Linked DNA regions of Tamandua tetradactyla. The protein of the gene in region 3 interacts with the protein of the main gene of each other region in a biochemical or structural test. Links are inferred from orthologs where the notes say so. Each region holds a gene or a part of one and is shown on either strand. Other genes may lie near its edges. The genes, in order: MAPK8IP3, ELK1 and MAPK8.

Region 1 (3,747 bases), on a different chromosome or scaffold from region 3:
GGTTACCACAAGTCCCACTGAACTAGCCACTTGGTAGCAGAACATACTCGCAATTTCTAACTGCAGTTATTACAGGCAAAAAGAAATAGGGACAGGCATGTCTGCCCTGCTGAAGGCTTTCTCTCTCTCTTTTTATGAAAATCTGCAGATTTTGTCTGCTCAGAGGCTGCAGGCAGCTCAGGTTACTTCCTCTGACTAAGCCTTCTTGAGCAGAGTGGTTGGGGACAGGCTCCGGCTAGGGCTCATATGGGAGGAGTCTGCAACGCCAACATCTTGGAGCTTGCAATACTCTAGCCCTTGTTATCAGACACATAAATACGTCATCACAATTCTCTGTCTGGAGAAAGAAGCTGGTCCGCAGTGCCATGGTGGTCTTTTCCCACAGAACTAAAACGCATGTCCGGTTGATTTAACAGTGACTTAGAATGCCAAGCATTTCTGTAGCTGTAACATCACTTGAGGTCTTCCCAAGGACATACTACCAGCATCTAACCCAAACCTTGAGGCTGCTAGCCAAGTATGTGTTTTCTTCACGGCTCTCTGCTCATGCAGCTCTCTGGGCAGCTTCTCTGAATAGCTGCCCTAGTGCTGGTTCTCAGACCCCAACCACACACGCACACCCAACAGCTCTCAGTCCAGCAGTGAGGGTCAGTAGGAGGGCAAAGCACACTTGGTAGAGGTTGCATGTGAAGTGCACAGAGCAGAGAAAGCCTGATCTATGTACAGCTAATTTTAAAGCAAAGCTATGATTCTTAGCTACAAGACTGTCCCTTTTGACTTTTCTCCTTTTAGTTCCTTTTCACCCACTACTGAAGGAAGAAAAACCAATCTGAAACCTCCATTGTGCATCAAATGGGCACTAGAGCCGAGAGAGAGGTGGAGGGCAGTGCCCAGTGCCCAGGTATGGTACTCTGATCCCCAGAGCTTGAGACAGGAGGAAGTGTCAAGCTGGGAGTCAGGGCTCGCTCCAGGGCCCAGTCCTGCTCACCCGCAGTGTGTGACCTTGGTCGGGTCCCTCCACTCCTCGGGTGGCTCCTACCCCGGAAAATGCCCAGGCTGCTCTGAGCTCTGAAGTTCTCTGCGCTATCGCACGCCCTTACGTTGAGAGATTGAGCTCAGCTCTGGTGGCACCTGGGCACCCCCATCAACAGACAGCAGCAGCCTCTTGACAGATAACAGGAAATCCCAGAGCAAAATAAACCACACTAAATAGGAACAGTACAAGACACTGTTCCTTTCTATAAATAAACTTTAAGTCAAATGAGGGTGTAAACCGGGTTTAAGGAAAACTCAAAATACTGAAGCAACCTTTCATTTCAGTACTGAAGTCAGGAATGTGCTACATGAATGACAAGGGAATCTGAACTCATTTGACAGGACACCTCCTCTCCGTAAATCAAAGCGCTCCCCCTAACTCCTGCCACAGCAGCACCTCCAGGCGGGGGTCCATCCAGGGCAACTTGCTCATCTGACTGATGGAGCATCCCAGCCGGGAGCAGGCCCGCCAGCGGCCAAGGTCACAGAGGGGGTCTGCGGCCAGGCAGGGGTGGAATCCCATATCCCCCACCCCCCTTCACTCTGCTGTCCTCCACAAAGGGCAAAGCCGCAGGTCGGGCGAGTGACCACGCTCAAGTATTCGGTGGTGAAGGAACGAAGCTGCTGGTATTCCCTCGCACACAGCTGGCCCCAAACCGGCCGATTTCCAGGCAATGGAGGCGGCCTACAACACAACCCAACCTTTCAAAGCCTGCAGAGCCAGGGCGGAGCCCCTGGCCGCCCACAGCCAACTCTGTCGCCCCCGCAGGGAGCCAAGGGGCACCTCCCCACCCGAGTCTTTCACCCGATGCGGCTTTCGTGACGTGGTATGTCCACCACCTGGTCCACTCAAGCCGCAGACCCGCCAGATGCTGCGTGAGGAACAAAGGAAAAGGGCTCCCGACACCCGCGGCGCTCCTGGGCGGCGGAGGGGCCGGAGATGGTGACCCCGGGGTCTGGGGGTGAGAAGGGGAGGCGCGTGGGGCGGCGGGCGGCGCGTGGGGCGGCGGGCGGCGCGGGGCGGCGGGGGGGACGGGGCGGGCGGGGAGCGGGGCGGCGGGGGGGACGGGGCGGGCGGGGAGCGGGGCGGCGGGGGGGACGGGGCGGGCGGGGAGCGGGGCGGCGGGGGGGACGGGGGCGGCCGCGCGGGCCCACGCACCTCCTCGGCCTGCCTGCGCAGCGCCTTCTCGCGCTCGTACTGCGTGAGCAGCTGCTCGTTGTCCTCACGCAGCAGCTCCAGCTCCACCTCGTGCTCCTGGTTCTCGCTGAGCACCGAGTCCAGGTTCTCCAGCACGTTCACCACGAGCGGCATCAGCTCCTTGACCACCTCCTCGTCGTAGCAGTGGATAAGGCGCTCGAACTCGCGGTAGATGGAGCCCGCCAGGCCCGACACCCGCTCGGACATCACCGAGCCCGAGCAGTAGTCGTCCTGGTACACCACCACGCCGCCGCCCTCGTCCATCTGGATCTCCATCATCGCGGCCATCGCCGCCGCCAGCGCGGCCCGCCGTCCGGCCGCCGCGAGGGTCCGCAGGCCGCAGCAGGTCCTCGCCGCCGCCGCCGCTGTCGCCTCAGGCTCGGCCGCCGCGCCCGTCACTCACTGGCCGGAAGCCCCGCCCGCGCCGGAAGTCCCGCCCCCGCGCCGGAGCCCCGCCGCGCGGCGCCGCCAGGGGTCGCCCAGCGTGAGAGGAAGCGGGTGTCGCGAGTCTCGCGGGGGGCGGGGGCGGAAACTCGGCTGGGCTGGGCAGGATGTGTTTCCGGTGGAGCCGCCCGGGGACCCGCCCGGGCTTCGAGACCGGGGGCGTGTGGTGTTTCCCAAACGGTTCTGCTTGGACTTCAGCCCGCCCCCGTTTACAAACAGGAACGTCCCTGGAAGCCCCGCGGCGGCGCTTCTCTCCAGGGCGGCCGTGGCCCGGCGCCCGCGGTCCTCTGAGCACCGGTGCAGCGTGACCGCGGAGCTGCGCGTCCCCACGGCGCGGCCCACCGCTTCTTAAGAACACCTCTGCGTCCAACCAGATGCGAGTTCGTCCCACCCTAAAATCCTGTAGCTTAGTCTGTTTCTGCCCTGCTTTTTTGTGTAACTTATTCAGATCCTCGTTTTTCTGCTGTCTTATTTTACCTGTCCATTGCATTTTTCATTTCAGTGGTTACTTTTAAATTTTCTATTTGCCCCATTTGGTTTTCTTATGTTTTACCAGTTCTTATAGGCGCTTATTCCTTACAGTTTAAGCGCTTTTTTTTTGGTATCTGAGTTCCATTACCAAATTTTTCAGGTCTGATTCTGCATTCTGCTCAGGCTCCCTCCCCCAGCCCCCTCTAGCTAGTGTTCCATGGGACGTCATCTGTGAAATTGTGGCTGTTTTAAAATGAGCTGCTCTGCAGGGTTTGTCTTTTCTTTTGCAGGGCATCGGGGGCTCTTTGAACCCACAACTAACATTTTCAGCCTGGGATTTACGTAGGCCACATAGGTGCTGTGAATTCTGGTCAAAAACCAAATCAGTGCCTGCTTAAATGCTCCCCTTTCACCTTCTGAAATGCTTCAGAGCCAATGCGAACCCTCATCATATCCCAGTTACACCCAAACAAGGAATTCTTCTGTCATTGACACCCCTAAACACACACTATATTTTCTACAGATTTTATCCTTGCAACACAATTTACTGTATACATGTTCACCTGCTCAACTCAGAGGTAGGTTATATGAGGCTCTCA
Region 2 (3,747 bases), on a different chromosome or scaffold from region 3:
CCTAGACATTTTGGTTCTCTCTGTCACCTCCTGATCCAGGCCTTAATTCAAAAGTCACCTTCCAAATGAGGCTGCCCTGGCCACCCTAAGATTTCTTTTCTTTTTAATGTTTTTTAAAAATCGCAAATATAACATATTTACAAAGCAAAGAAAGAAAAAAGCAATAATTTTCAAAGCACTCTTCTACAAGTAGTTACAGAACAGATCCCAGAGTTTGTCATGGGCTACCATTCCATTATCTCAGATTTTTCCTTCTAGCTGCTCCACCTTAACATTTCAAACACCCCAATACTCAATGTCTACCTTCCTTTCTTCTCTTCATACTTCTCTAAAATACCATCTAATTTTATTTACAGTTTTATTTATATAGGCTGTCTCCCTCAATAAATGGCTGCTGCACAAGGGCAGAGATATCTGTCTGTTTTGTTCCCTCCCAAATTCTCAGCACCTAGAAGAGCATCTGGTACTCAGTAAATGTTTGTTGAATGAACAGATCCAGCTAACTAGCCTCTTAACTAGCTCTCATGTCCCCTCTTCATCTCCATCTGTCTCCCACCCTGATTTGTCTGAAATTATTTTTCCATTCATTCCCATAATAAATTCTTATTGAGCACCTACTACATGCCATGTACATTTTTAGGTGCTGGAGACACAGCAGTGAATAAGCAGACAAAAACTATAAACCCCATGGGACTCCCATTCTAATGGGGAGAGACAGACAGAAAGGATAGTGAACTGGTAAATTATGCAATGTGTCAAGAGTGTGACAAAAGGCAGAGACAAATACAGCAGGGAAGAGGCCTGAGTACTGCTGGGTGTGTGGGTCCAGGGATCTCTTTTAAACAAGATGGTGGGAGGACCTCATTGAGAGGCTGACATTTTAACAGAGCTGTAAAGACAACCATGCAGATATCTGGGGGTAGAGTGTTCTTGGAAGAAAGAAAAGTCAGTGCAAAGGCCCCAAGGCTTGGTGTATTGGAGAATCATGAGGAGGCCAGTGTGACTGGGGCAGAGTTAGTGAGGGGGTGGAGGTCTAGGAGGTGAGGTCAGAGAGGTAACTTATTTTATTGTTACTAACTCAGGTATTCTTTATAAATACTGGGCAGGGGTGGGGTGATGGGGTTCTCACCCTATTCTCCCCATCTTGGAAGAGAGAAAACAGGCACAGAGAGAAGACAGTTAATTTACTAATCTAAGGTCACAGTTGCTGTAGGACTGGGGATGGGTGGGTGCTGGGACAAGGTGTGGAATGGAGACATCTCTGCAGGCAGAGGGAATTGCAAGAATAAAAGCTTGGAGATAAGAACTAATTTGATTTTAACGGAGTGGGGCTTATGCGGGGTTTGATGAAGTGACAGAGGGGAGCCTCAAATATTATCCTGTGCCCTAAGGGGCAACCTAACCTGGTTCTTTCTGAGATTACCTTTGAGTAAGGTATCTAACCTCCCCATGCCTCAGTTTTCCATCCGTGAAATGGGGAAAATGATAATACCTATCTCATAGGGTTGTGGTGAGGATTAAATGAGTTCATTAATATAAAACACTGAAAAAGCATGCCTTACATACTAGGTGCTTGATAAATTTTAGCTCCTACTAGCATTATTATCATTATCACTAATGTATTCATTTATTTTAGTAAGGAAGAATGTCTTGGTGGTTAAGAGTGTGAGGGGGTGTGTTCCAGAGTAAAAAAGACCTAGGTTCAACAATCACACAGACTTATCCACTATTATTGAAGGGGGGGGGGGGCAGGGCATGGACTGAGGCACCACAAGGAAAGGAGGGGGAATATAAAAGCATTGGATTCATAGATGGGCAAGTGGGGGTAGGGACGTGAATGTAAGCACACAGGTAGCAGGAAGGCCATTGGACAGATCCACTACAAAGAGGGGATGGGGAGTAAGGCCATGAACTCACCTACTGGCAAATAGGGCAGCAGAAAAGCTCACTAACTGATACACTACAGTGGAGGGGAAGAAAAGCCATCACACAGACTGATAAAAGGAGATAAGCACAAGGCTATGGCCTGCGCTCCTGGAAGTGGGGAGATACAAAGCACTAGACTGATTCAGAATTAAAAGGATAGGAGAAACCCACGAATTGACAGTGTACAGAAAAGGGAGGAGAGACAGGGCAACGGACTGATGACTAGGGGGATGTAACTGATCCACTATAAAATGGGGTGGGTGGGGGGAGAGGGAGGACGGCAGATAAAGTCATGGACCGCTGCACTTGGGGACTGGAGGAGAAAGGAATATAAACTGACAGACTATTCAAGAGGGGTGAGGGTACAACGCCACGGATTAATTCACTACAAGGAAGAGGAGGGGTAGAACAAACAAGGCCACAGACGGGTCCCTTGAAAGTTGCGGACAGAAAAATACAAGCACCCAGACTCACCTATATATAAAAGGGGTCCGACAGTGCCACAGACTGATCCCTAATAAGTGGGGATGGGGGCTAGAACATGGACGGGTCCACTGTAAGTTGGGATGGGGAAAAATTCAAGCACGCAGGCTGATCCATTACAAAACGGGAGCGGGGGATAGACCACACTCAGATATACTACAAGGGGCGAAGGGAGGGGACAATGCCACGGGCAGTTCCACCAGCGGTGGCGGTACTGTGGGGAGTCGAATACCAGTAGGCGATGGGCCAAGCCACATCGCCCCACGCGGGGGCGGGAAGGATACAAGGGGTCACGGACGCGGGCCCCCACCCTCCAGGCCCAGGGCTCACCTGTGCAGAGCGGTGCAGCGGCGTGGGCAGTGTTGGCAGCTCCGGGGGGCGGGGGCTCCATGCGCGGCCCCACCGCCCCCCAGGCTCGGCTCTGAGGCGGCGGCGGCGGTTGCGGCGGCGGCGGCACCCACAAGCCGCCCTTGCGTTTCCCTACCGCTCACGTGGGCCCATGGGGGCGGAGACAAGCGTCCTGCCACTCGCTGGTTGGCCCAAGCAGCACAGATCAAACGTGCGATTTCGGGAGGTGGGAGTGAGGGGCGGGCCCCACAGCCTCAGAGCTGTGCCTTGATTGGCCCAAGCGGAACTGTTGGAACGCGGATGGCCGCCCGAGGGTCGGGGCGGGGGAGCGAACCCAGCCCCACAGATGCCCTGTGCTGATTGGCTCAAGGACTGATAGACAGTGGGCGGCTGACAAGGGTCTGGGGGCTTCTGCCTGCACGGATTGGCCTAAATAGGATTGATGGAAGAGATAGCCAGCCTCGGAGAAGAGGGTGGGCCCTACCCTTTGCTGATTGGCGGAAAAGTGTCTCCTAGACAGCTGCCAAAACATCAAGGGGGCAGTGCCGCACTCCACGCTGCTCAGCGGAAGCCGGACTTCTATAGAAGTGGGAGTAGCAGTGGACCTGGCGGCCAGCGTAACTCTGAGGACTGGCTAGAAAATACTAATTTAGATTGGAGCGGAAGTAGGAGGGCGGTACGGCTGCTAGACACGAGAAGCGCTGAGTGGAGGAAATCAAATGCCTACGAAGAGGGCAGGGTCGAGCCGCGGCCAGAATTACAAAGGGGAGGAACCTGGCTCTACTCTGATTGGCGGAAGCTGGACTCATCTTAGCTTAGAGGCCCGCGCAGGGCTGGGGAAGGGCGGGACCCAACTCTGCACCTATTGGCAGAAGCTTGAACCATTAAGAAGTAGGGGTGAGGCCGAGGTTGGGCCGAGAGGAACTAGGGCATAATTAGGGTATTTGCGGAACGACTACGGCGCAGGGCAGGGGTAAGCCTTAGCGCCAG
Region 3 (3,747 bases):
ATATGAGGACATAATCTTCCTACTGCACCAGGATGCTCCTTTCAAATTCCTCAATGCAAAATACCTATCTACAGAATCACTGCTGTCTCTTCCTCTAAAATAGGACTCAGAGAAGAGTGAAGAGGGAGTTTAGTTAATGGTTATGGGTTTTCTTCTTGGGGTAATGAAAATGCTCTGGAATTAGACAGTGAGGGTCTACACACATCTTTGTAAACATACTAAAAACCACTAAATTGCACATGTAGAGTAAACTTTATGATACGTGAATTGCATCACAACAAAGCTATCTAAATATAACGTAGAATTTAGAACAAAACAAAAATCTTGGTTCTCATGTAACCTGACTGTGATGATTTTTATCAGTAACCCTTATCGCAAACGGACATATTTTATCTAGGTAAAATAATAAATATCTGGTATAACTTTTATCTTAATAGAGTATCATTTTCTAATTTATTCAATTCTATTCTACATCAAATAAAAAATAAGCCCACCTCAAATTCTTTCATATCCAAAACAAATCCTAAAATTTATCAAATAGTGGGAAAGAGATATAACTTGGATAAAATACTATTTTGATCTTAAGCCCACGTTTCATCAGTGTTAATATGAGAGTTTAAAAACATTTCTCATAAACCTCTCTAAAATTCTATTTGAAATTAAACATTTCTAATACATTTCTGCGACTTGTTTCTTTGTTCTAGCTTTTCCACTTAAAATAAAGGAGTCACCAAAAGCCTTTTCAAAAATATTAACAAAGGGATGCGTTGCAATCGTAGGTTATTACTAAAATATCACAGGCATATACACACACTAACCTTACAACTTACCTTACCTCATTAAAAAACATTTTAGAGAAAGTTTTAGGATAGTGAATGACCCAAAAGTGATAGTAAAAAACTGATACTGAGGTGATTCAAAAGACCCAACTGTCATGACAGATACAGAGGAACTGATCCTTTAGCCATCTGGAAATGACGGTTTGCATGACGCTTCCAGAACTTTATGGGGAACATCAAAACTGTTTTTAAGGCTTGCTTTTAATTTCATCAATTATAAGAAGCTTTTCATCAACCTGCCTTTTTGAGCACTTACTTTACAGGCTAGGTGCTGGAAACCCAAATGCAAGACAGGCCTACCCTCAAGGAAGTCCCATTTTGATTGCTTGCATTTGTGAGGTACTGCACTGAACTTGTTCATTACATCATGACTTTCTAGGCTTAAATGACAGCAGGAGATTCTGAGGTAATCACTACAAAAGAGGCTTTACAAGAGCAGAAAAAGTAAAATTTAGAAATACCTGTAGACCAAATGTAGCACTAGCTCCTAGAATATCATTACTTTCACAGTTCCAGACGAACTATTTCAAAAACACGAAAATAAACTACAGTAGGACTCCTTACCTTCTTTTACACACATCAGGTACGTAACACATGACTTACATAATTGTGTAATTTAAAGGTATTCATATTATATTTCTATCAAAGCACACTCTTCTATTAAAGGACATTTCTCTTTACCTTTCAGTCTCTCCACCTGTGTACAGAACAGCTGTTGAATGAATGAGTGAAATAAACAGATGTTCTAATTGCCAAGGAGGTACTTGCTGGATGCTTATTTTAAAACACAATGGACTGACACTACAATTCTACTCGAAAGATCACTGAGTTTGAGAGGTAAAAATAGTAAGCCCTGGACAATGTCTGATACGAGGCAGTCAACATGTCATTACATTTACAGTGAAGACCTAACAGGAGACTCTTGGAAATTAAAATGAAAAAGTGTTTCTCCTAGTACTTTAAAACGCACTTGGTTGTATGGATTGAGGACGTGAGTGCAGGACAAAGACACGGGAGGATGGGGTGAAAAAGTCAAAAGGTCACCACGGACTGACCCTCAAGAGGAAGATCCAGCCCAGCTCAATGAAGCCACCTCCCGCCCAAGCTACAGGCCCCGGGCTGGAGGCCACACTGGCCCTTTCCGACGAGGCTGTCCGCGCTCGCCTGCAAACGTGAGCACAAAGAAACCACCGAGGAACAGAGCACGGTCCCCGTGGGCCTCGGAACCCGGGAGGCAGCGGGGACGCCTCGGTTTCGACCTCCCCCCGGGCGTTCCTGAACTTGCCCCCGCCCCTCGGCAACCTCCCGACGTGGAAGCGGGACACGCGCGAGAGGGACGGCGGGCGGCGCAGCTCGGCTCGACCCACCGGGACCGGCTCCAGGTGGCCCGCAGCCCCGCGCGGCCCCCGCTTGCCGGGCAGCTATTGTTCCCGCGCCGGCCCACCCCCACCCCGCGCGCTCCCGCCCCCACTCCCGGGAGGGGGTCACTGCTGAGGCGAAGGCGGCGACGGCGGCGGCACAATAACATAAACACGGCGGGGCCGCCCCGTCGCCCGGGCCCTGCGGCGCGCGCGGCACTCACCCGGCAGCGGAGAGAACGAAGGGGAGGAAGTCAGCCGGCGGGCACCCTCGCGTCCAGACGCTGCCACGGCCGTTACCCAGCACTGCTCGCGGCTCCGCACCCCGGGCCGCGTCGTCCGGTCTCCGCCGCTCCGCTGAGTAACAGGGACGCGGGCCGTCACGGCGCACGCCCGTCTACGTCATCGCGCAGACTCCGCCTCCCGCGCCTACGGAGCGGCCCGCGGGGTGGACGCGGCCCCAAGGCCCGGATTGCGGAGGCGGGGCCGGCAGCAGGGGGCGGGGCTATGCCGGGAGGAAGGAGGCTATGCGGAGGTCGCCTGGGGGCGGAGCTGGGGGGGCCAGGGGCCCCGCGTGCCAAGCGGCTGAGGGGCGTGGCGGGCGCGGGAGGGGCGGGGTCTGTGCCGGGCACGTGGCGGCGCGTGGCTTGGGCCCCCGCCTGCGGGCAGTTCCTCCGCCCTGGACTAGGAGGTTAGGAGCCTTGGCCCGACCCGCCCCTCAGAGGTCACCTCCCGCCTGCTGCACATCTGAGAGGCAAAGAGCTCCTCACTTAGACACATCGCACGTTCCACTCCGAGGGCACCTACCCGGGACCTGCAACCCTCAAGCAAATAACTGTTTTCTTCAGGCTCCCGGAAAGAGCCTCCTCCTGTTTTCCCCAAATCCACTTCCTCCCAGAATCCGTACCTTACCTGTTTATCTCTGAGGCCCTAAAAAGCACGGTAAATATTTTGCAAATGGTCACTGGAAGTGCTAGACAAGCCCTTAAATATCCGACAATAGACAGTAGGTGGAAAGGTATTTAAGTACGTCCATGCAATGAAATGAATACATTTTAGCCATTTAAAACCCACGTGTGCAAGGAATTCTTACAGCTATGGGAAAATGTTCACAATGTAACATTAAGAGAAAGAAGATACAAGCGTGCGTGTGTGTGCATACATATACATAAAATGATCCCCCTTATGAACTATATGCATAGGAAAAAAAACTGGAAGAGAAATATTCAAAAATATTTTAGAAGCAGTTCATCATTGGATATGGAATGAAAGGTGGTTTGTTTCTCCTTTATACATTAGGTGTTTTCCATGGTTTCCAAGAAATAAATGAGCTACTTTACTACTGAATACGTAAATATTTGTTGAGTAAATGAGTGGATGCAGCTAGACTACTTTCCCATAACGTGTTGGGCTGAGCTGTGCCCAGTGATTCTGAAGGGAAACATGAGTGTAACCATTCCTTCCTTCCTTCATTCTCTCCTGGGGCTCTCCCTCCCTCTTAGCCTTCTTTACTCCCTTCTGTCCTTCATTTCTCCAATAAATATTTATTG

What was found.
Region 1: the proteins of MAPK8 (region 3) and MAPK8IP3 form a complex in vitro, tested with the Homo sapiens proteins (3 studies listed by BioGRID, with this or other methods). The link is inferred for Tamandua tetradactyla from reciprocal best matches to the Homo sapiens genes MAPK8 and MAPK8IP3.
Region 2: of the proteins of MAPK8 (region 3) and ELK1, one has a biochemical effect on the other in vitro, tested with the Homo sapiens proteins (3 studies listed by BioGRID). The link is inferred for Tamandua tetradactyla from reciprocal best matches to the Homo sapiens genes MAPK8 and ELK1.

The regions. Positions count from the first base shown.
Region 1 is NC_135349.1:55,767,670-55,771,416, forward strand, and holds the start of MAPK8IP3 (C-Jun-amino-terminal kinase-interacting protein 3), read right to left. Parts: upstream 2,542-3,747; 5' UTR 2,522-2,541; coding exon 2,195-2,521; intron 1-2,194.
Region 2 is NC_135353.1:122,482,970-122,486,716, reverse strand, and holds the start of ELK1 (ETS domain-containing protein Elk-1), read right to left. Parts: upstream 2,953-3,747; 5' UTR 2,740-2,952; intron 1-2,739. UniProt on the Homo sapiens protein: Transcription factor that binds to purine-rich DNA sequences. Forms a ternary complex with SRF and the ETS and SRF motifs of the serum response element (SRE) on the promoter region of immediate early genes such as FOS and IER2.
Region 3 is NC_135339.1:7,465,117-7,468,863, forward strand, and holds the start of MAPK8 (mitogen-activated protein kinase 8), read right to left. Parts: upstream 2,586-3,747; 5' UTR 2,422-2,585; intron 1-2,421. UniProt on the Homo sapiens protein: Serine/threonine-protein kinase involved in various processes such as cell proliferation, differentiation, migration, transformation and programmed cell death.